Linked DNA regions of Lonchura striata. The protein of the gene in region 2 interacts with the protein of the main gene of each other region in a pairwise test. Links are inferred from orthologs where the notes say so. Each region holds a gene or a part of one and is shown on either strand. Other genes may lie near its edges.

Evidence for each region.
Region 1: the proteins of NR4A1 (region 2) and PRDX4 interact in a two-hybrid assay, tested with the Homo sapiens proteins (2 studies listed by BioGRID and IntAct). The link is inferred for Lonchura striata from reciprocal best matches to the Homo sapiens genes NR4A1 and PRDX4.

Annotation. Positions count from the first base shown.
Region 1 is NC_134604.1:103,724,704-103,736,395, forward strand, and holds the start of PRDX4 (peroxiredoxin-4), read left to right. Parts: upstream 1-5,931; 5' UTR 5,932-5,947; coding exon 5,948-6,164; intron 6,165-7,827; coding exon 7,828-7,945; intron 7,946-8,894; coding exon 8,895-9,011; intron 9,012-9,534; coding exon 9,535-9,657; intron 9,658-10,269; coding exon 10,270-10,400; intron 10,401-11,692. UniProt on the Homo sapiens protein: Thiol-specific peroxidase that catalyzes the reduction of hydrogen peroxide and organic hydroperoxides to water and alcohols, respectively.
Region 2 is NC_134629.1:6,181,085-6,193,256, reverse strand, and holds NR4A1 (nuclear receptor subfamily 4immunitygroup A member 1), read left to right. Parts: upstream 1-6,693; 5' UTR 6,694-6,695; coding exon 6,696-7,505; intron 7,506-7,744; coding exon 7,745-7,874; intron 7,875-7,985; coding exon 7,986-8,137; intron 8,138-8,514; coding exon 8,515-8,717; intron 8,718-8,792; coding exon 8,793-8,971; intron 8,972-9,061; coding exon 9,062-9,318; 3' UTR 9,319-10,168; downstream 10,169-12,172. Other genes in the region: protein TAMALIN, read left to right, coding at 49-142, 214-280, 363-429, 511-935. UniProt on the Homo sapiens protein: Orphan nuclear receptor. Binds the NGFI-B response element (NBRE) 5'-AAAGGTCA-3'. Binds 9-cis-retinoic acid outside of its ligand-binding (NR LBD) domain.

The DNA.
Region 1 (11,692 bases), on a different chromosome or scaffold from region 2:
TCTAGGCTCAGTTCAGATCTGAGAAGGCAGAACCACGGGTGGGACCTGTGACTGCCACTGATGGAGATCACTGCAGTTGGCACAGTGAGGTTGCTGCTCTGTGGGTGAAGGTCTGCCTTGGTCAGCACCTCCAGACAAAGCCAGCAAGGTGATTTTGGCAGGCAAGCTCCTGGCTGTGATGGCCTCAGGGCACAGCAGCAGGCTGCCAGCAGCAGGTCCAGACATCCAGCATTGGCTTTCCCGTGCAATTCCTCAACTGCCCTTCACAGTCCACTGACTTGCAGAGAACAGCAGATGTCTAACAGGTGTTGTTCAGCACTGACTTTCCCTGTCCTCATCAGTACAGATGGCCAAAAATTGTTCTAGTGCACATAGGTGTTTTGGGCACTTTCTTTGCATACAGACTTGTTAAAGGAAGAAAAAATGTGATAGAGCATAAACACACTTGTAACCCACTCTCAGGTGACTGCCAAAGGAAAACTGATGAGGTCCTGCAAAGACTACATGATTTGTCAACTCAAGAAGGTGGTTTCACAATGTTTGTTTTTTTCACAAACCTGCAGATTCTGTCAGCCCTCACAGAGGCAGAAGAAAGCTTGGAACAGAGGTGCTTTAGAAACCATACTCCCCCCTCGCCCTGTGACTAGCAGTACCAGCCATCCTTTGTTGCCATGGTCAAACACATCAGTAACCTGCTCTGCCCTGCTCCTATCCCACAGGCCCTGCAGGGTTTCTGACACCAATGACATAGGAAGCAGAGCTGGCTAGAGGAAAAAGAAAAGAAGCAGAACTTTTCTATGGCAGGTGTGTCTGCAGAGGAAAAACATAAATTCATCTCTAAACATTAATGCATTCTCCAAAGTCTGCAGGAATGAATATGTCTATGATGCATCTATAGAATAAAAGGGGCAGGTTTTACAAAGTCTATGTTTACTCAGTTCATACTGCTTCCACTAGCTGACAACACAAGCAGAAGTCAGGATATGTTGCCACAGCTCTCTTCACAGAGAGCAGAAGGCACAACTTTCCAGGTATTGTCCTGGGGAAGGCTGTGAGAAGATCAGAGAAAACAATGAGAAACAATTCTATCTTCACTTGCTGCACCGGTTGTTGTGCACATGTGGAATGTGTTATGGAGATTTGTTTACTAAAGGTTGATTTCTTAATTGGCCACTGGTGATGGTGTTTGGATTTGAAGGACAAATCTGGTCTGTCTGTATTGGACTGTCTGCATGGGTCATGGTTTTTTCTTGGATAGAATGAGATGGAATGGGATGGGATGGGATGGGATAAGGATAGGATAGGATAGGATAGGATAGGATAGGATAGGATAGGATAGGATAGGATAGGATAGGATAGGATAGGATAGGATAGGATAGGATAGGATAGGATAGGATAGGATAGGATAGGATAGGATAGGATAGGATTGGATTAGGATGGGATTGGGATGGGATAATAAAGTAATTGATCAGCCTTCTGGAATCATGGAGTCAATGCTAATTATTACCCAGTGGGGAGTCCTGCTATGATAAGGAGGCAGCTCTGTTAAAGCAAATGGCACCACCTAACACTCCTCAGCTTGATGCACTCTTTCTTCAAGGCCCCTTTGCAGCCAGCACACACACAGCTGACCTCACCAGTCTGGCCTTAGCAAGAGCTAAAGAGAAGAAGTGCTCTCTAATTGTTAATTTTAATTATGGTCATTTTGTTCCAATCCCTCTCACAAAACAGATGTTTTCTACCCTACTTTCTCCAGAAAAGTTTCCTGTGCTATAGACTTTTTGTCATGCACGATGAGCAATGCAATATATTTGTTAAAATGTCCCTGTAAACCATGAAGAGAATAAAACCAACTGCTAGATTCACCAGCACAATATTGAACATCTGCTCCATCTGTTCTAGGAAATGGTGACGGGTATCTTGCTACAATATATTACACTAATTTTTCCAAGATATTTTTATGTTTGGTCATTTAAATTGCAGTGAGGTATTTTATTACCACACAGAACCTCCATAACCACGTCTAAACTGCTTCAGTAACCTAAATCACTCCCTGCTTACATAACTTCAGTGCCACTGTGGCAATGACATCCTGCCACTATCAAGCCCTTTGCCAAAACTGAGCCTTCCTCATGGGGCTGGATAGGGAATGACAGGAGCAATGCTGCCTGGGTACAGTGGGGAAAAGGAAGGATTTAGGAGATTTCCCCTTATATGTGCTGAACCTTCCCAGCTGCAGAAGAGCTGTGTAACAGGATGAATGTAGCAGTGTTTCTCTTATCACATTTTCACAGCATCACTTAATATCACCAATTCAAACACAACAATCAGCATGCAGTCAAGTATTTAATCACTGGGAAAAGAAATACTGCTGGCCATCTTCTCCATTTAGACTCTGAAGAGTGGTATATATTTGGGTTTCATCATGGATTCCATTTATGAATTGCTTTCATCTTTTAATCACTTGCAGAAGTCTTGAGAGTATACCATCAGCCAGAAAGTCTTTCTTGTTGCTCTTTTGAACTCTATCATATATATATATATATAGGCATGATCCATGCTTAATCCATATATATACTTAATCCATGCCTATATATACTATATGTTCTACATATATATAGGCATGTTCCATGCCTATATATACTTAATCACATATGAACCTCAAATTAGTGCTGCTAAACTAACATTATATTCTGCAGATAAAACCTTTTTTTGTCCTTCAGCATTTTCTCCACTCACAAGAGGCCTGCTTTTTTTCTATTTTACTGCATTCATTTTACTGGTTTTCTCTCACATTTAGAAATACATAGGAATATCTTTCAACTGCAAGGTTTTACTATTATGCAAAGTCCATACCTTGCAACTGCTTTTTTTTCTTTCAACCTTACTGTATGTCTACCTTTCAAATCATTGCCATATCCTACAGCTCAAAACACCAGCACAAAGAAAAGAGCAGGGTCAACCAAAATAACTTTCTCTGTGAACTCACAGAGGCCAAGATTGTCACTTTTCTTATGAGCACTGAGACTGAGGAAAACTTGATATTAAATTCAGTGCTACTAAAGTTAGATCATGTAAGACAGTAATCTATCAACACATTTTAGCATGCTTAAATGTAAAGCTTGTCTTGTTCCAAGATCAATGGGAATACACAGATTGTATGCTTTTTTCCACCACAACCAGAGTGTTTAACATGAGCAAATGAGTTTTCTTCATCCTCCTTTTAATGACATGACCTTGATAGGGGAGGGGGTGTCAAACAGCAGCACTGAAAAGAACAGGTTTTATCCTGCTTTCAGCACTTGGGGAGGTATGAACAGAGAATGGCCACCACCAACTCCCAGTGAGAAAAACAGGGCAAGGGAACTTCATGTGCCATCAAGTTCATTTCCTCTTTAGGCAGACATTTGATACAATTTTTTATAATTCTACACATGCTGATCAAGCTTGGTAAATATGCAGGTGTTTTGCTCCTGTACTCATGAGAAGGATCTTCCAGAGCCTTACACTTCTGACCCTCAATAATCTTCAATTCCTTCCTTCAGGTGGGCAAATGTGCCCAAGGAAGATTATTACTGTGGCAGTAAGGATATGAGTGGCATGACCCTAACTTGTAGAACCTAGACTGGAATTTAAAGGCAAATACCACAAGAGATGGGAAAGGAGACCTTTCTGGAGAGAAGTCCAAGTTTTGGGAGAAAGGAACACTTAAATCATAGGTTAAGAAGTCCAAGCATGCCTGCAAAATCTTGATTCTCCTGCTCCTGTGAATTTAATTTTGTGAAGTATCTTCATAAAGAGTGAAATCTGTTACAGAAAACCACAAAAATATTAGGATTTTTTCAAGACACAATGTATAATCACAGGTACCTTCCTTCTCTTCTTTTACAGAGCCTTTATTCTTTGAAAATGGCCCTCAGCATATTCTTTTGCCTCTGCTCTTTACATGCCTGTTCTGTATCATTTGAAGGAAAAAAAAATTGTACTGTCCATTCTGGCACAGGTACCACAGCATCCTGCAGCATTTATCACACATCATCTGCAGAGACAGGCTGCAGTGCAGACGATCCTGAAATCATCAGTCTGGACAGCTTTTACTGGACCACCAGTTTTCCCAGAAGATGGCATCCACAGTGCTTAAGGCACAAAAGATCAACACTTTTGGTAAGGGACAGCTCCAGCTCTTTCACACCCTTACTTTTAAGGATCATGGGTAGAATTTAATTGATACACTTGACAGATGACCTGACCTGTCCCTGTCCAATAGGTATGCCTATTCAACCAGAAATTGTGCTGCAAAGCCTTACCAACTGCTTGTCAAAGCCTGCTTACTGTCTTCAAAATCTGTGGAATTACATTCAATCTATGCTTATCTTATATGCTTATATGTAATTGTTTTGTGATATGAACCACAATCTACTCAGCACTGAGGAAAATGACCTCTCACTGGGCAAACTTGAACCAAAGCATCTGGGTCACAGAAATTATCACAGTGCTGGAGCATCTCTTCTGCAAATGTTGAGGTTGTTCAGCCTGGAGAAGAGAAGGCTCCAGAGAGACTTTAGAGCAGCCTTCCAGTACCTACGGGGGCTTTTAAGGAAGATGGGGACAGACTTTTTAGGAGAGCCTATTGTGATAGGCTAAGGAGTAATGGTTTCGAATTACAATGCCATATAGTGCTTAACACCACATATAAAGACATTTTTTACAATGAGGGTGGCAAAATACAGCACAGGTTGAACAGAGGTGGATGCCCCAACCCTGGAAACATTCAAGGTCAGGCTGGACAGGGCTCTGAGCAACCTGATCTAGCTGAAAATGACCCTGCCATTGGAGGCATATTAGAATAGACTATCTTTAAAGGTCCCTTCCAACCCAAACCATTTTGTGATTCTGTGAATTAAGGCACTTAGTATTTAATTTCTGTCGCACCACACTCTTACACAGTCACCACGTGCACTACATGCTGCCCATTCATGAGCTGCTGCCCAGCTGACAATTCAAGGTTTTGGGCCTGAGGCAGTACCCCTTTTCTGCATTTCCTCTATTCGTGAGGCCAGAATGCACAATCTGCATTTGGCATAGCTGGGTATGGCCGCGAGTGGTGGCGTGCCCACAGAACCCACGCTGCCACAGATGAGAGGCGATAGCAGAGGGAGCCCCTCACAATCAGTTTCCTTCTGCAATCCGGATTCGTGCGCTCTCTCCACACACACACGTGTTCTTTCCCCCTTTCTCTGCACAGCCCGTCACTCCCATTCCCTCCGAGGCCGGAGACCGAGCCCGCAGCCCCGCGGCACTGCCCGCGCCCAGCGCCCGGCCCCACAGCCCGGGCCGGGGTTCCTGTACCGGACCCGGGCCGGGGTTCCCGTGCCGGACCCGGGCCGGGGTTCCCGTGCCGGACCCGGGCCGGGGTTCCCGTGCCGGACCCGGGCCGGGGTTCCCGTGCCGGACCCGGGCCGGGGTTCCCGTGCCGGACCCGGGCCAGGGTTCCTGCGCCGGACCCGGGCTGGCTGCGCTGTGACCCGGGCCGGGGTTCCTGTACCGGACCCGGGCCGGGATTCCCGCGCCGGACCCGGGCCGGGGTTCCCGCGCCGGACCCGGGCCGGGATTCCCGCGCCGGACCCGGGCTGGCGGTGCAGGGCCCGGGCCGGGGTTCCTGTACCGGACCCGGGCCGGGGTTCCCGTGCCGGACCCGGGCCGGGGTTCCTGTACCGGACCCGGGCCGGGGTTCCCGTGCCGGACCCGGGCCGGGGTTCCTGTACTGGACCCGGGCTGGCTGCGCCGGACCCGGGCCGGGGTTCCCGCGCCGGACCCGGGCTGGCGGTGCAGGGCCCGGGGCCAGCACACGGCCCGGCCCGGCCATGCGGCGGGCGGGTGTGCGCACCAAGCTCCTCCCCGGCGCCGCCGCCCCTCGCCGCGGGGCCGCGCAGTCGCTCGGCGGGACATGGAGGCGGGCGGCGGGGCCGGGGCGCGGCGCTCCGCGCTGCTGCTGCTCCTGCTGGCGGCGGCGCTGGGCGGCGAAGCGGAGGCGGAGGAGCCGCGCCCGGCGCGGCAGCGCGGGGACGAGCAGTGCCATTACTACGCGGGCGGGCAGGTGTACCCCGGGGAGGCGGCCCGGCTGCCGGTCTCCGACCACTCGCTGCACCTCAGCCAGGCCAAGAGTAGGTGCTGGGCGCGGCCGGGGCTGCGGGAGCGCGGGGCCGGGCGGGGATGTTCGCAGCGCGCCGCGGGGCTGCGGGCGGCGGCGGCGCCGCGCCGGGCGGAGCGCGCGGCTCCCGAGCCCCGCCGCGCCCACCGGCTGTGCTGCGGCCTCGGCCGCGGGGCGGAGGGAAGCAGCGAGGGCGGGCCGGCTCCTGCGGAGCTGCGTGTCCATCGTGGGCCCGTCCGACGGGCTCCGGCGAGGCCCGCGGTTCCGGAGATGGCGAACGAGTTCGGGGGAGCGCTTGAGGGATCCGCAGGAACGTTCTGTGCTCGCACTGCAGTGGATCACAAACAATGCACGGCGCCTCCCGGGCCCGCCGCCGCCGCGCTGGGTTTGGCGCTGCTCTCGTGCCGGGGCTCTGGTGCGGTTTAAGTGCTTTACGTGACAGACCTGGGGACAAACACCGCAAATCGCATCGCTGTGAGATGTGCAGGGACACCTGCTCAAAGTCTGGCCTGCAGGACGGAGAGTACAGAGAGGTCACACAGATATCTTCCATGTGAGAGTTTTAAATGCTTTTCCTTTACAGAGCAGGGCATACATCATACATTCTGTTTTAAACGTTTGCAAGCAGATGCTACCAAAAAAAAAAAAAAAAAAAAAAAGAGGGAAAATCAGCCAAGATATTTGTAACCGATACCTTAATTTAGAAAGGAGTCAAGATATACAGTATTTCGTTTAATATCTTTTCCTTCTCCCTCATAATCTGAAGGTCCTTGTTACACATCCTTGAGAACGATATTCTGCAGCTGTGGGTTGTTCTAAGGAAAGGAGAGCCAAACAATTCAGGCATTGTCCAGATAATATTTAAGATTCCATGTATTTTTCTCAGAAGTTTTTCCCTAATTTGTTGGAGATATACGTCAATATCCTTGACATGGCAAGTGTATTCATACCACCTTGTAATTCCAGCATACCCTATCCTTTGTCTCAGAATTCACAGTGGTATGAAAACAGTACCTGCAGATTAGTTTTTAATATATTAAATTCAAGGTTAATCGCTTCGGATAGGAATAGTAAATACATTTCATGCCTTTCAACTGGATATTTTTTTAAAACATAGCTGTCTTCAAGTTAAATTTTGCTTAGGAGTTGTAACTTAATAAACATATGCTGCATTTTTAGGCGTTTGTCTTTCTTTAACCATGTTGTGGTGTATATTTTTTGTGGACCAGAATTCCAGACAGGTTTCCATGGCTAAAAAGTAAAGTGAATTTTAACTATTTTGTGCTTCTGGTTCCCAACAGCTATTTTTAACAGAACAATGAGAGTACCTGAAGTATTAAAGAGCTTTCCCCTGCAGTCTAGCAGTTGCCTTGAGCTGGCAGTGCACACAGGGTTTGTTCAGTCAGCCCAGATAAGGTTTGTGTGGCCTTGATTGTCGGTGATCAGCAGGGCTCATGTATGAGCACAAGCTGGTCAAATTATTTACTTTGTATGTGTACTAAAGCCTTCATTTCTTCATCGTTCTGTAACCTGTTTAGAGCTGGAAAGCAGTTTCATCTTGGAACTGTGCTGCAGATTGTTTTTCAAGCAAAAGGAAGAACAGCTGTCCTGGGGCAGCTTGGCTTGAACACAGGTGTTATATTCTGACTTCTAATTCAATGTTCTTTGCATTTCAGTCTCCAAGCCAGCACCTTACTGGGAGGGAACAGCAGTCATAAATGGAGAGTTTAAAGAGCTGAAGTTAACTGATTATGAAGGAAAATACCTTGTCTTCTTCTTCTACCCTCTTGACTTGTAAGTAGGAGCACTGTAGACATAACACTGAGTGCAGCTACACTAGATCCGTAATTCATTAATTCTTCTCTTTTCTGAGGTCTTGTATTTTTTGTTTGGTGAGAATTTGGGAGAGAAGAAAGGAATGACAGAAGAAAATATATTCTTTGCATTTGTTTTCTCATCATGCATTGGTAAAATGACAACACAGTCTTTGTCCTAGTAACTGTGTCCACTAATTTGTGTCTCCAAACAAAACAAATGCCTAACCTAGTTAGGCAGACTCTATGTATTGTTTCGTGCTGTAAATCAGTGCTGCAAGTAGAAGAAAGCATCCTTTCTAGAGTGTGTACAATATATCCAAGAGGTGGCATTTTCGCTTTAAGCTCATCCCATAACATCCTGTGAGCACTTAGCATTAACCTCCTTTATTTAGAATGCAGTAACTTCACTGAGTGAAAACATCTCTGCTTTTTAAAGGACAATCCCATTCTTTTCCACAAAATGAAGATAAGAGGACAGAGGTGCATAACTACTTTTAATATGATAACATCACTAGCTTTACTACTTCAGTTCTTCTGTAATAGAAAAAGTTGAAGACAAATTAGTTAAAACTTGCAGATTTGCACAGTAACAACAAATTATAGTATGATCCTCTGAAAGAATTGGTTTATAGTGCTTAAATTCAGCCACATTTGTAAAGTCTAAAAGGAAGTAACTGTACAAGCTCTGAATGCAGATTGTAAAATAACTGTAGATTTAGAGTATTCAGAAATAATCCATTACTAACTAAGCTGGAGTCTGAGGGTGGAGGATTTGTCAGGCAGCATTTTGGTTAAATACTTGAAGGAGCAATAAAAATAAGCAAAAGCTGAAATAATTTACTATAAATACACCATTTAAAGTTAGGCAGAGAATTTACTGACTTTCTCATGAAATTTTGACTTTTATCTTGTCTTAAATCATCTAGTACATTTGTCTGTCCAACTGAGATCATTGCCTTCAGTGACCGAATTGAAGAATTCAGAGCAATAAATACTGAAGTAGTAGCATGTTCTGTGGACGCAAAATTCACCCACTTAGCATGGTATGTATCTTTCTCTTGTCTTTCACTAAACATTATTTATTCATGATTCCAACTTAGTAAAAGAACAGTATTCCCCAGATTTTTAGCCTGTGGAGGTATATCATAATGTGTGAAAGTGTGATGCTGTTGACACAAATGTTTAAAGTTTTAATCCTAGTGTGTGAAAGAATAAAGATTCTTTAAGCTTGTTTAATATGTATTGCTTGCAATATGTCATGTCTCAGTCCAAAAAATACTACTAGAAAATATTAATGAAATCATCAGTAAATGTTTCACGTGTCCCAGTTCATGAGCATGTTGGCATAAAACAAATGGAACTGATAAGAAAAAGGTCATCATTAACAGATGTGGCCAAAACCTGCAAGCCACAAATACTGTTCCATCTTCTTTATGTGCAGAACAGAAAAAAATGTCACTTGCACTAGATCCTTCTGTCCATACTGATTTAGCTTGTGATTTCTGACTTGTGTAGGGAATATAAATCAGTATGAGAAATACATCTCTTATTTCCTTTCCTTCAAAGGATTAATACTCCTCGTAAACAAGGAGGACTTGGACCAATGAAGATTCCCCTTCTTTCTGATCTGACACACCAGATTTCAAAGGATTACGGAGTGTATCTGGAAGACCAAGGACACACACTTAGGTATTTCACTTGGTTGCAGTTGGGTTGGGGTTTTGCTTACTTACTTACTGCTTACTGCTTCATATTTAAAGAAGCATTTGAAATTTTTGTTTTAGAGCAGCTTTTACTTGGGGGTTCATGGCAAGTAGCAAATATTGAAGAACACAAGAAATTTAGTCATAATGAGTCAGAAGAAGGGTCAAGGTTAATATCCTGTTAAACAGCAGGCATCAGTAGAAACCTAGAGCAGGGCAAACGAGCAGGATTTCCCAAAACTGCAGTTGCTCAGGGACCTCCCAAGTCCAGGTGGAGTCAAGACTAAGGTTACCTGAAGAGATGCATTTGCCTAAAACTGAGTAGTTTCTTTTGGGATCCCTGTAATGGCCTAGCATCTGCAGCATCCCCTGGCAGGGCCTGTGAGAGCTTAGTTCCATGTTCTGCAAAGAAGTGTGTCCTTTTTGTTTTAAATGGAGCTCAGCTCATGTCCTCTGATACCCAGGTAAAGAATGGTAGGTTACTGGTGGTTAGTATTATATGATGTTTGCAGACATCAAATTCCTCCCATCCAGTGCATGAAAACACCACTACTGTTAATTCTGTTTCCTAACACACACACAATTTTTTTACTCACAGAGGCCTTTTCATTATTGACAATAAGAGAATCCTTCGACAGATCACAATGAACGACCTTCCTGTCGGGAGATCAGTGGATGAAACACTTCGTTTAGTACAAGCATTCCAGTACACAGACAAACATGGAGAAGGTGCTCTTTAAATATTGCCATATTGAACATTGTTTTACTTAGCCTGGAAGCTGTGTTAGCTTTTTGGAGGAAGGTTGTTCAGTAGCATTAAGGACTGCCTCATTCAGTGACTGAAGTGGTTTGATTGCCCTGCTTGATTCCATGGTCCCAGATCCTTAGGTTGTTTCTAGAATTGTAATTTACATTTCGTTTCACATCCATGAGAGTGAGAGCATAAAGCATTCCTGTAGTCGGAATTTTGGCATGATGTACCATGTGTCACAAGCATAAATTTGTACAAAATATGAGGCTGTGAAGAATGAGGCCCAATATTTCAATACATTTTTGCATACTAAAATAATGGAGATGCAGGCCATCCTTGTCCTGTGTCATTCAGTGAGGACCTGTGACAAGTAATGAGTGTTTCATGGCAAGATACTGTGGAAATTATAGCACCATTACTTGTGTTTTTTGTATAAGTGCTATGTGCTCATCTTTCCCCAACAAAAAAATTCTGCTGTCTTCAGATCATTGCTTTGTATCAAAAATTCTTATTCCTCCAGTTCAAGCATGGGGTGAACTTTTTCACATTTCTTTAAGTAACTTATTGGAAGATTTGTTTAGATATGAATACATATTTAGCAACCTAACTTCCAGTTCAACTCAATGTCTCCAAGCATTTGAAAGTACCTTTATATGAAGGTACAAATCTATTCTGCTGTGCTGTACACACCTGAAAAAACAGATGCTGATACTTAGGCTATGCACATCTGACTAAGGAGATTTACCCACATTTAGTACAAAGCTAGCATACAGAATGTTGATTTGCAGTGTTTCCAGAATACCACTTTTTTCCCCAGCTTTTCCATGAATGTTGAGGAGAGCTTCTGTAGAAGCTCTCCTTCATTATACAGGAAGAACTATTATTCTGTATTCTTCTTTGCACAGAATAACAGTTCTCCACAATTCCTTCTAGCATTTGAGGTGCTTTGTCTGCCAGCCTGTCTTAAAGCACTGTAATATGACATAACTGCTTGGGCTGAAGCCTCAGAGGGAGAGCTCTGCATAGATGAGAGCTTTACTCCAGAATATGCAGCTGTTCAGGTGGTCCCAGGGCTCCCAGATACACTGTGCTAAGCACATGCTGCAATTCCTTTGTTCCTAAGGAAGGTTACAAGTAAAATTAGTCTCTTGTGGAACTTTTGAACTGATCTCTTTGCTAAAAAATGCCTCTAATTTTGATTTTAAAGAAAAAAAGGTAAATCTTTGTGTAGTCACCTGAATTTTATTGCAAAACTTCTGTTTTACTAGAG
Region 2 (12,172 bases):
GCAGCGGGGAGCAGCCCCCCTGAACCCCCTGTTCGCCCTGGGCTCCAGGGGACACCATCACGGGCGTGAACGGGCTGAACGTGGAGGGCATCCGGCATCGGGAGATCGTGGAGATCATCAAGAGCTCGGGCAACGTTCTCCGGTGAGCTTGGGGGGCGCAGGGGAGGCCCGGGTGGCTGCAGCCCCCCACGGCTGACGGCTGCTGACCCACAGGCTCGACACGCTCTATGGCACCTCCATCCGCAGGGCCGAGCTGGAGGCCCGGCTGCAGTACCTGAAGGTGGGCAGGGGCTGGCAGGGGGTCACGAGGAGGGGCTGGGGACCCCCTCGCCAGGGTCCTCACCCCCTCACCCTCCCCGCAGCAAACCCTCTACGAGAAGTGGGGGGAGTTTCGCTCGCTGATGGTGCAGGAGCAGCGGCTGGTGCGGGGTGAGCGGGGACCAGGGGGCTGGCGGGGGAGGATTTTGGGGCACCAGCCGCCCTCCCTGACACCCCCGTGTCCCCCATCAGGTGTGGTGGCCAAGGACCCCAGCATCTACGACACGCTGGAGTCCATCCGCTGGTGCCTGCAGGGGGAGGGACTGCCGGGGGGCTCCTCCCGGGCCAGCGGCAGCGATGATTCCCTCTACCAGACCTGCGTCTTCGCCTCTTCCAGCTCCCTGGACGGGGACAAGGATGGCGACAGGGACAAGGATGAGGACAGCGGGGGTCCCGCGCCGCCCCCGCCGCGCCCCCGACCTGCCCTGGCCCGCAGCGCCAGCCTCAAGTGTGCGGGGGGCCCGGGGGCTGCGGGGAGGCTTTGGGCCCGGGCCGGGGACCCCGGGGAAGGAGCGGCCGCCCCCCGCAAGAGCCGGCACAGCAGCTTCCGCCGGCGGCTGCTCAAGTTCATCCCGGGTCTCAACCGGGCGCTGGAGGAGGAGGAGAGTCACCTCTAGCCCCCCCCGCCCGGCCCCCCAGGACTATTTATTTATTTATTGCGAGGGGCTTCATTCCCCCGGCCCCCATCCCTGGGGGCTGCAGAAGGAGGTTTGGGTTGGCCCCGGGGGGGTTCTGATTTGGCCCCTCCGACCCCGGCCCGTGGGGATGGTGACGCCGAGGGACGGACGCGACACCGAGGGACAGACGTGAGGAGCCTCCCGAAGCGGCTCCGTTCTCGGGAACGGCGCCTCCCTCCCCGGAGGGGAGCACCGGGGTAGCCCCGCACTCCCCAGGCTGGGGGGGCTGGGGGGGTCCCACCCCTGCCCCCCCGGGCTGTTGTACCACGCCGGTGCTCGCCAATACAGAGAGGATTTGCAGCGGTGTGTGGCTGTGATGAGAGGGGACAGAGCCCCCCGTGGGGACCAGGACGGGCAGGGTGGGCTGGGGGTGACCAGCTGCTGTCACCTTGGCCGTGAGCGAGCTCCCGGGGACCCCCCGTGTCCCCCCGCCTGCCGCAGCCCCCGGTGCCGTCCCCACGTCCCGGTGCCGTCCCCACGTCCCGGCGCTGCGGGGCCCCGGCCAAGCCAGGCCCTTCCTGCCCCGTTTCCTCCGGCAGCCGGCGGGAAGCGGCTCCCGCCCCGAGCCCTTCCGCCCGCGGGGGACACGGTGCCCACGCAGGACGGGCACTGGTGGGGTCCCCCCGACCTGCCTCAGTGTCCCCCAGAGCCACTGAAGCGGCGTGCAGAGGAGCTGGGGGACACAAAGCACCCCCGGAGCTGGGGGACTGCTGCAGCACCGGTTCCCTTGCACAGGCGCTCCGTGGAGCACCGAGAGCCCCCAGCCCTCTGCTCTGCCTCAGTTTCCCCCTTTGGCCGGGCTGTTGCATGTCTGGGGACCCCAATTCTCCCCTTGCCCTCCCCGTCCCCCCCGGGAGAGCCTCTGGAGGTCTGGGGGTGAGAACTGCGGGTGTCTGTGCGTGCCGTGGAGCGGGGGGTGGGGGCTCAGCTGGCTCCCCCACACTCTCCTGCCTTGTCCCCGTTCCAGGGCAGCTCCGTGCTGGACATTTATGGTCTGGCCCCGCAGCCCCGGCGGCTCCCGGTGTCCTCCCGCGTGCTGCCCGGGTCGGAGCATCCCGTTCCCGTCAGAGTCACCACGGCACCCCCCGTGGCAGCTGCCACCCCACGCTGAGCTTTTTATAGCCCCGACCTGGGGCTGCGTGCGCCCGGGAATGGGCAGATGGCCGTGGGACACCGGGGTCACGCGTGGCACCGGCTGAGCCGAGGCTGCGGGGTACAGACCGGGAACGCCCCGGAACCGCCTGTCATTACCGATAAAGATAGGCCCGGGGCAGGGAGCCAGGGGTAGCCGTGAGCCCCGGCTGATCAGCGCCCGGGCACGGGCACCCTGCAAATCCCAGCGCCCACCCTGGGGCTGCCTGGCGGTCATCCTGTCCCCGTGTCCCCACCTGGGTGTCAGGGGGGATCCCTGGGGCTGCTGTGAACAGGGGTCCCCCCGCTGCACCCCCGTGGCCTTGCCAGGGTGGCTGGGCTCGGGTTTCCTCCCCCGAAGCCATCGCGGTGCCCGCGACCTCTCCCGGGGTACAGCTAATCCCGGCTGCGGGGGCTGCCGCTGCCACCCTCCTGCCTCCGGTACCGCCGCCACCAAGCCAGGGATGCGGGGGGCTGCGACCCCCGGTGGCTTTGGGACCCCCGGCAGCTCTGCGACCCTCCTGTCTGACGTGTCCCGAGGACTCGTGGCCGAATCCCCGGGCTGGCACCGGCCCTGCCCCTCGGCAGGTCCCGCCGGGCCCGGGGGATCCCTCTGGGGGCGGCCCCGGTGGTGCCGCGGGATCCCCAAGACGTCAGTGACCGGTGTGACGTCAGCGGGCAGGTGTGATGTCACGGAATCCCGTCGGGGGCGGGCGACAGCCAGAAGCGGCGCCGGAGCGAGGGAACGGCTCCCGGTCCCGGGCCGCCACCTCCGGTACCCCCGTGCCGCCACCTCCGGACCCCTCTGGTGCCGGGCTGCCCCCGCCCCGGCTGCTGCTCACGGGGCCGGGGATTTCGTGAGGCCATGCAGGGTCCCGGTACCGGAGGTCCCGGCAGCACCCCCGATGCCGGCAGCGGCTGCCGGGACACCGGGGCACCGGCCCGGCCCCGCGGTGGAACCGTACCGGGGCCGCTGCCGCTGCAGGGGCACTAACGGGGGAGCTGTCACCCCCGGGGGCGCTGCCAGCCCGGGCACGGCGGGCCGGGTGCCCCCAGACCCCCGGTTTGTCCCTGGGAATGGAAACCGGCGGGTACGGCGAGGGACGGGACGGAGCCGGTACCGACGTGTACCGGGTCGGTAGCAGGAGATCCCAAGGGAGTACCGGGGTAGTATCGGAGGGTAGCGGCTCAGAAGCTCCGCGGTGCTACCGGAGGGTATCGCGGGAGGTGCTGGAGTCGTACCGGAGGGTACCGGGATGGTACTGGAGGGTATCGCGGGAGGTGCTGGAGCCGTACCGGAGGGTACCGGGATGGTACCGGAGGGTACTGAGGGGGTACCGGCGTGGCACCGGAGGGTGCTGCGGGCTTGTGGGTCCCTTCCGCTCACCGTCCGCCCTCCCGCGGGCCCGGGCCGGCTCCGCACCGGCTGAGCTCATCTTTCCAGCCCGCGGGCGCTGTTCCCGGCGCCGGCGCCCGCCAGCAGCCGCCGCTCTTTCCATCGCCCCGGCCAGGGGCTCCCCGCGGGGACCGGGCGGGGGCGGGACCCCGCGGCACTCCCCCCGCACCCGGCACCGAGCGGGAGGAGCCCGGGGGTACCGGCGCCGCTGAGCACCGGAGATACCCGCATGGGCACTGGGCATAGCGGCACCGGGGGTACGGGAGATCACCGGGGAGAACGGCGGCGGGGGGACACCGGGAATGGGGCAGTGAAGATACCGGCACCGAGGGGGCTCCGGGGATGCCAACACCGAGGGGACACCGGGGATAATGGCACCAGAGATCCTGGCGCCTCGAGGGCACCGAGAATGGTGGTACCGGCAACGAAGGGACACCGGGGATACCGACACCGAGAGCCTACCGAGGCTGGGCACTAAAATGATGCCAGCACCGAGGGGGCACCGAGGGTGGGCGCAGCGGAGTACCAGCAAGGAGGGGACACCGGAAATACCGGCAGCGAGAGAGGGCCGGGGCTAGAGGCAGCGGGGGACGCCAGCCCCGGGTTCGCAGCAGCGAGGAGACACCGTGCATACCGAGGAGCCACCGGCTGCGAGGACACCGGGGATACCCCTGACACCGGGGCCTCCCTCCCCCCGCCGGCGGCCCCCGGTGCCCCGGGGGGATATGTGGGGAAGCGAGGGGCGCCCGGGCTATTTTTAGCCGGGGCCGCGGGGGTATTTTTAGCCGGGGCCGCGGGTGCGTCAATGGAACCCCGCGTGCGTCACGGCCGCGCCCCCGCCGGGGCCGCCCCCCCCGTGCGTCACCGGCCCCGCGCCGCCCCGCGCGTCACCGAGCGCTTAAGAGAAAGTAGTGGCGGGGCCGGAGCCCGGCGGAGCCCGCGGAGCGGCGGTGGCAGGAGCAGGAACCGGAGCGCCGCCGCGCCGGCACCCGGGTACGGGCGGCACCGGGATGCGGGGAGCGGGTGGGGGGCACCGGGGGCAGGGGGTCGTGCTGGCAGCGGGGGCGGGCTGAGCGCAGCGGCGTGGGGTGTCCCGGTGGCACCGGGGGAGTAGGAGCCGTTGTCCGGGGCGGCACCGGAGGGGTTCAGATCGGGCGTGGCAGGTGGCGCCAAGAGGATCCGGGTCGGGCATCCCGGTGGCACCGGCGGCTCAGGGCGGTGGGCGTCCTGCAAAGTGGATGGATGTGGTCGGGTGTCCCAGTAGCGCCCCGGGCAACCGGGTCGCGCGTCCCCGTGGAGCCGGGGCTCGCGTGTCCGAAGGACGCGGTGGAAGGGACTCCCGGTGCCACCGGGGAGAGTCGGGGGTCCCGGTGGAAGGGACCGGGCTGCGTGCGCTATGCGGGATTGCCCCTTGTGGGTATCCGGTGACACCGGGAGGAGCCGAGTCGGGCGTCCCGCGTGGCGCTGGGAGGTGCACGGGATCGGGCGTCCCAGCGGCACCGGTAGCACCGGGAAAACCCGGGAATCCCGCAGCCGGCGGGAGTTGGCAGAGCGAGAGGTCCCGGTGCCGGGGGTCCCGGGAAGAGCCCGGCACCACCCTCTCCTCCGTGAGGAGCTGCGCAGGACCGGGAGCCGCTAGTTGGGCCATGCGGGAGCGGGGGCTGGTTCCCCCATCACGGCAGCCTAACCGGGGCCAGCTGCAGATGCAGGAAAGCCCCGTCTCAGGGGCAGAGCCACCCCACACCGGGCATCACCCCGGGATCCCCGAGCAGAGCGGTCACGGAACCGGAGAGGGCAGCAGCGGGGCAGGCAGGAGCACGCGGGCAGCGCCGGGCACTGCGAGCAGGGATGTGCCCGCAGCCAGCCCCGTGCGGGCAAACCCCCCGCTGCCCCCGCGGGCCTGGCAGCAGCCGCTGCGGCATTACCGGGCAGCAGGTGCCGGCAGGGCCGTGGGCAGCGTGAGCCGCCCCCGGTGCCACCGGCTGCTCTCGCCCGCCCGCGGCCCGGGGCCCGGTGCCAGCGGCTGCCACCCGCCCGTGCAGGCGGCAGCCCCGGGGCTGGGCACGGGCGGCTGCCCCGCGCTCCCAAACCAGGAATCTGCAGACAGAGCCCGGCCGTGGGCAGCGCCGAGGCTGCTGCGGGAATCTGTGCCCGGTCCCTGGGGGGGGACAGGGCAGAAGGGACCCCAAATGCTCTCAGCGAGCGGGTGAGAGCCAAAACCTTCAAACAACCGGGAGCACGGGAAGGGTCGAGGCGTTGCATTTGCCAGGGTTTTCATGCAGGCAAGGAAAACTCCCACTGGCACAGACCGTGTCCCCCAGGGCGTGTGCCCAGCACAGTCCCCTCGGCTTCATTCAGGGACAGAAGGCAGCTGGGGGGTCACTGTTCCCTCTGAACCCAGCTGGACACGCACAAACTCCACTGCGACCACCAGCAGGGGGCTGGGGGCTGGTGCCATCCCGTGGGTACCAGAGCTGGACCCACGCTGGATATTTTTAAACCCAGCTCCTGGCGGGTGTCGGCTTTCTTGGTGCCCGAGAGAGCTGCCCAGATTTGGCTGGGGGAATCCGGGGGCTCTGGCAGCAGGGCCGTGCCAGGACGTGGCCGGGGGCCAGTGCAGCGTGACCTTTAAAGGTCTGCGAGATGAATTACATTATCGTCTTGCCATTGGGGTCACTTCTGGCTTGGCTTTCAGCTGGACACAGGACTCCGCTTGTCTTATGTCCCACCAGCTCCACGCACAGCCCCGGGGGGCTCCAGGGACTGAGGGTGGGCTCCTCTCCCCCTCACCTGGAGGGCTGCCTGCACCAATTTTCCCAAAAAGCCCCAAAAGGGGTTACGGGGGAAGTGAGATCCCCAGAACCCAGTTCAGCCCCAACTCTGGCTCCCTTGGCCAGCCCTAGGGCTTGGGAATCTGCTGGCCACATTCCTCCCTCCTTCCCTTTCGGGGGCTTTTGCTAAGCCAGCGTTTTGGGGAATGTCCTTTGCACCCATTGGCTGTGCCGTGACCTTTCTCAGGGACAGCGGTGGCCGCCACCACGCAGCCAGTGGCTATGGAGGTGCAATTCCAGCACGAGGGGAGCATCCCACGCTCCCCACCGTGTCTCCATCCTCTGCCTGGATGCCGGGGGGCGGTGTCGGGGCGCCGCTGACGCCCCTCTCTCCCCGCAGAGATGCCCTGCATCCAGGCGCAGTGCAGCACCACGGGCGCCGGCCCCTGCGAGCGCTGCCCGGCCGAGCTGCTGAGCCCCGAGGGCGGCCGATTCCCCATGGAAGTGGCCGGAGCCGACCTGGCGGCCGCCCCCGCCCTGCCCAGCTTCAGCACCTTCATGGAGGGCTACGCCGGCGAGTTCGACGCCTTCCTCTACCAGCTGCCGGCGAGCGGCCAGTCCAGCGCCGCCGCCGCCGCCGCCTTCAAGCTGGAGGACTTCCAGGTGTACGGCTGCTACCCCAGCGCCTTCGGGGGGCAGCCGGACGAGACCCTGTCCTCCAGCGGCTCGGACTGCTACGGGAGCCCCTGCTCCATCCCCTCGCCCGCCACGCCGGGCTTCCAGCCCCCGCAGGCGCCGGGCTGGGAGGGCTCCTTCGGGCCGTACTCGCCGCTGCCGAACTACGAGGGTGGGCAGCCCTGGGCCGAGCCGGCCAAGGGCGGGGGGTCGCAGCCGCCTTTCTTCGCCTTCGGCCCCCCGGCCCCCAGCCCCGGTGGGTCCCCTGCCGCCCTGAAGGGGCAGCTTGGCGCCTCGCCCCGCGTGGACCCGCGGCTGCTGGACACGGACGCCTTCCCCCCGGCCCAGGGGCCTGCCAGGGGTTTCGGGGGGCTGCCCCTGGCCCCCGCCGCGGCGCTGCTGGAGGGGCCGGCGCTGGCGCCCAGCAAGGTGCGCAGCCCCGGGGCGGGCGAGGGCCGCTGCGCCGTCTGCGGGGACAACGCGTCCTGCCAGCACTACGGCGTGCGCACCTGCGAGGGCTGCAAGGGCTTCTTCAAGGTAAGGGGAACCCCCGGGCCGTGGCTGCCGCCGGGATACTCCCACAGTGCTTTGCGGCGGCAGGAGGATGCTGCGGGGTGTCCCGGGGAGGGGCAGGGCAGGGAGCACGGCCGCCGAGCCCTCCCCACGGACACGGAGCCGGATGCTGGGCTGGAGAGGGAGGCAGGGGAGGACAGAAGGGCTTTTGTTCGGAGCTCAGCGCCCCGGGCTGAGCTCGGCCGCTCCTTCCCCACCCGCAGCGCACAGTGCAGAAGAATGCCAAGTACATCTGCCTGGCCAACAAGGACTGCCCTGTGGACAAGCGGCGCAGGAACCGCTGCCAGTTCTGCCGCTTCCAGAAGTGCCTGGCCGTCGGCATGGTCAAAGAAGGTAGCAGGGTCCCGTCCCGGGTGGGGGCACCCAGCAGGAGCGGGGAGTCCCCTCTCTGCAGCCTCTCTGGCTGCACTGAGGGCACACACTCACTGCAAGTTCCAACCGCAGTGGTCCGGACCGACAGCCTGAAGGGGCGGCGGGGCCGGCTCCCCTCCAAGCCCAAGCAGCCGCCGGACACGTCCCCGGTCAGCCTCATCACCTCGCTGGTGCGGGCACACATTGACTCCATCCCCAGTGCCACCAAGCTCGACTACTCCAAGGTAGGGCTGGTGCCACTCCATGCCCCGCCCAGGGCCGTGCCAGGGCTGGGGCTGGGTCCTGACCCATCCCCATCCCAGTTCCTCATCCATCCCCATCCCAATCCTGATCCTGTCTCCATCCCAATCCTGATCCTGTCCCCGTCCCAGTTCCTGATTCAAACTCATCCCTGTTGTTAGCCCAGCAGTTCCTGACTTGTTCCCATCCTAGGTCCTGACCCACCCCCATCCCAATTCCTGATCCACCTCTGTCCCAGGTCCTGACCATCCCAATTCCTGACCCATCCCCATCCCAATTCCTGATCCATCCCCATCCCAATCCTGACCCATCCTCTCCCAATCCTGACCCATCCCCCAATTCCTGACTCATCCTGTCCCAGTTCCAGGAGTCAGCCCCGTGCCCGTTTGAGAAGGAGGACTCGGTGGATGTGCAGCAGTTCTATGACCTGCTCACCGGCTCCATGGACGTCATCCGCAAGTGGGCCGAGAAGATCCAGGGCTTCACCGAGCTGCCCAAGGACGACCAGGACCTCCTGCTGGAGTCGGCCTTCCTGGAGCTCTTCATCCTGCGCCTGGCATACCGGTGAGCCCCGGGGCAGCGCGGAGCAGGGGGAACCCGAGCCGTGCCCAGGGGTGACGCCCGGCTTTGTGCTGCCAGCTCCAAGCCGGAGGAAGGGAAACTCATCTTCTGCAACGGCGTGGTGCTGCACCGGCAGCAGTGCGTGCGCGGCTTCGGGGAGTGGATCGACGCCATCCTCGAGTTCTCCCAGAGCCTGCACCGCATGAGCGTCGACGTCCCCTCCTTCTCCTGCCTTGCCGCCCTCGTCATCATCACAGGTGAGACCCAAACCCAGCTCCGGGCCCGGCCCGTCCCCACCCGCAGCCGGTGTCTGTCCCCGCGGTCCCACAGCCTGTGTGTCCCCCCAGACCGGCACGGCCTGAAGGAGCCCAAGCGGGTGGAGGAGCTGCAGAACCGCATCGTGGGCTGCCTCAAGGACCACGTGGCGGCAGCAGGCGCCGAGCCCGGCCGCTCCAGCTGCCTCTCCAAGCTGCTGGGGAAGCTGCCCGAGCTGCGCAGCCTCTGCACCCAGGGCCTCCAGCGCATTTTCTACCTCAAGCTGGAGGATCTGGTGCCGCCGCCACCCATCGTTGACAAGATCTTCATGGACACTCTGCCTTTTTGAGTCCCAGGCAAGGAAGGGGCTGCCGTGAGCTCCTGACCTGCCTGGGGACATCTGGGACCCGCCCTGGGCAACCCTGGTTCAGTCCAAGGATGCCCGGGAACCCCCTGGGCACCCCTGGGTCACCCCTGGGATGCCTGGAACATCCCCTGGGTACCCTAGATCAGCCCTGGGATGTTCCCACCCTATGGGTGACCCCCATAATGCCCAGAAACCACCTGGGCATCCCTAGATCGCTCCCAGGATGCCTGGAACCTGCCCTGGTCACTCCTGGATCAGTCCTGGGATGCCCGGGACATCCCTGTGGATTCCTGAATGACCTCTGGGACACCTGGGACCCCCTGGGCCATTCCCAAGCCTTTATGTATACCCCTGGATCACCCCTAGAATGCCTGGAAAACCCCCCCCCGGGTCATCCACAGGATGCCTGGGACCCCCTGGGCACTCCTGGCTCGCTCCTGGAATGCCTGGGACCACCCCTGCATCACTCCCGGGATGCCTGGGTTCCCCTCTGGATCACTCCCAGGATATCTGGGTCCCTCCTCAGATGCCTGAGTCTTCTTGGGGGCACCCTTGGGGGTTCCCCATGTGCCTTCACGGCCCAGGGTGCAGCCTCGCAGCAGCCCTGGCGTCGTCTTTCCCCGGGGGCATCGCCGGCGCGGTGCCCCCTTCCCCTGTAAAAACGCCCCTGATGTAAATAGCGCCGGCTGGGTCCTGTACAGAGTGGGGGGCGCGGGCGGGGGGTGGCTCCGGCCCCCTCAACCTCGGCCCCTTCCCCTTTATATATATTTTTCTGGGTTTCCCCCTTTTTGGCCGTTTTCTGTATATAAACTTGTACGTACAGTGAGAGGCACTGGGCGGGAGCTTTGTCCCTTGTGTTCCCCTTTAGTGAATATTTGGGGATTGGGAAGGGGGGACAGAGCAGCGGGGCTGGGGACAGCTGGAAGGATGGAGACGGGGAAAAACGGGATTCTGGAGCTGGGGGCAGCCAGAACACCGCGGAGGGGGAGAGCCGGAGGGAGCAAACAGGACACGGGAGCTGGGGACAGCCAGACTGGGGACAGTTAGAGCTGGGGACCGGAGCTGGTGACAGCCGGGGCTCGGGACAGTGGAGATGTCAGAGCTGGGGGAAGCTGGGACACTTGGGCTGGAAAAAAACAAGACGCTGGAGCTGGGACAGCCGGGGCGATGGAGCTGGGGACAGCTGGAGCTCCGGAGCCGGGATGCTGGAGCTGGGGACAGCCGGGCCGGTGGACGTGGGGACAGCCGGGATGCCAACGCCGGCGACAGCCGGGATGCCAACGCCCGGGACAGCCGGGGCTCCGGTGCCGGCGACAGCCGGGATGCCAACGCCCGGGACAGCCGGGACACCGGAGCCGGGGACAGCCGGGGCTCCGGCGCCGGGGACAGCCGGGACGCCGGAGCCGCACGTTGCCCACGCCGCTGCCCTTGAACCGTCACTCACCCCCGGCTGCCGCGGCCCCGCACCTGTCGCCCGCCTGATTTATCCTCCCCAAAATAACCGGGAAGCGTGACCGTGTCCCCCGCTCGTGTTCCTGGGGACGTGGCCATTGCCCTGGCGGGGGGGTGGTGGTGTTTGCGCTCCCGAGCTGGGGACAGAGCCGCGGGCTTCCGAGGCAGGCGAGTGGTGCGTTGTCCCCCGGCTTGTCGCCTTCCTCCTGCCGGGCACAGCCTGGCCCCGGAGCAGACGTTACCGGGGACACCCGGGACGGTGCGGAACAAGGGCCACATTGAGGCGCGGGGCCGGGGGCGACACACAACAAGGGTCCCTCTGTCCCCCCCGCCGCCGCCCCCGCTGCGGGGACAGCGCTGACGCACGGTGGGGCCGCGGACGGGAGTCGGGGCGGGGAACGGCGGAGCTGCGCACAGCGGGCGCGGTGGGCACGGGGTTGGCAGCCGGCACGGCTCGGCACGGCTCTGCTCTGTCCCCTCCTACAACTCAGGGCTGCCCTCGGCCACCATCGCTGTCCCCGTTCCCTCCTCGGCACGGGGACGGGGACGGTACCAGCAGAGCCGAGTAAAAGCAGCTCCGGGGAGAGCTCCGGCCACGCCGCCGGTCCCGGGGCTGCTGGGCACGGATGCGGCTGTGTCGGGGTGTGCCCGGCTCCCACGGCCACATTCCTGCTGCGACTGACACCAAGCCATGTGTCCCCACGGCAGCGCGGCCGATCAGTGCCCCAGATCCCCGTGTCCCCGTTCCCTGTGTCCCCATGTCCATCCATCCCCTCTTCCTGTGTCCCCCCAGGTCCCCACGTCCCTGCTTCCACTACATCCCGTGCCCTGTGTCCCCGTGTCTATCCCTGTCCCCATATCCAGCCGTCCCACTGTCCCTTTGTCCCCCTTCATGTCCCTTTATCCAGTATTCCCCCCGTGTCCCCATATCCCTGTGTCACGCTGTCCCTTGTGTCCATCTGTCCCTGTGCCCCCCCTCCCCCACTTCTTTATTCCCCCACGGTCCTGCTGTCCCATATCCTTGTGTCCCTTCATATCCAGGTGTCCCCCGCGCGTCTGTGGTCCCCACGAGCCCGGTCCGTGCCCCTGTGCCCGGTGTCCCCACGCGTGTCCCGCCGCTGTCCCCGCAGGGGTCAGCGGGGGACACCGGCCCGCCCGCCCCGCTGCAGTACCGCGCGGAGCCGCCAGCACCGGGGGCGCCACGGAGCCGCTGAGCCGCTCTGGGCTGCGGGATTGCAGCTCTATGGCCCCCCTGGAACGAACCAAAACGGGGAGAGGGGAATGGGCGGACTCGGAACGGCGATTCCGCCCCCGGCGGCACCCCGCGGCCGGGAAGGGCACGGAAGGGGCGAAATCAAGTTAACAGAATGGAGTTCAGAGAGAT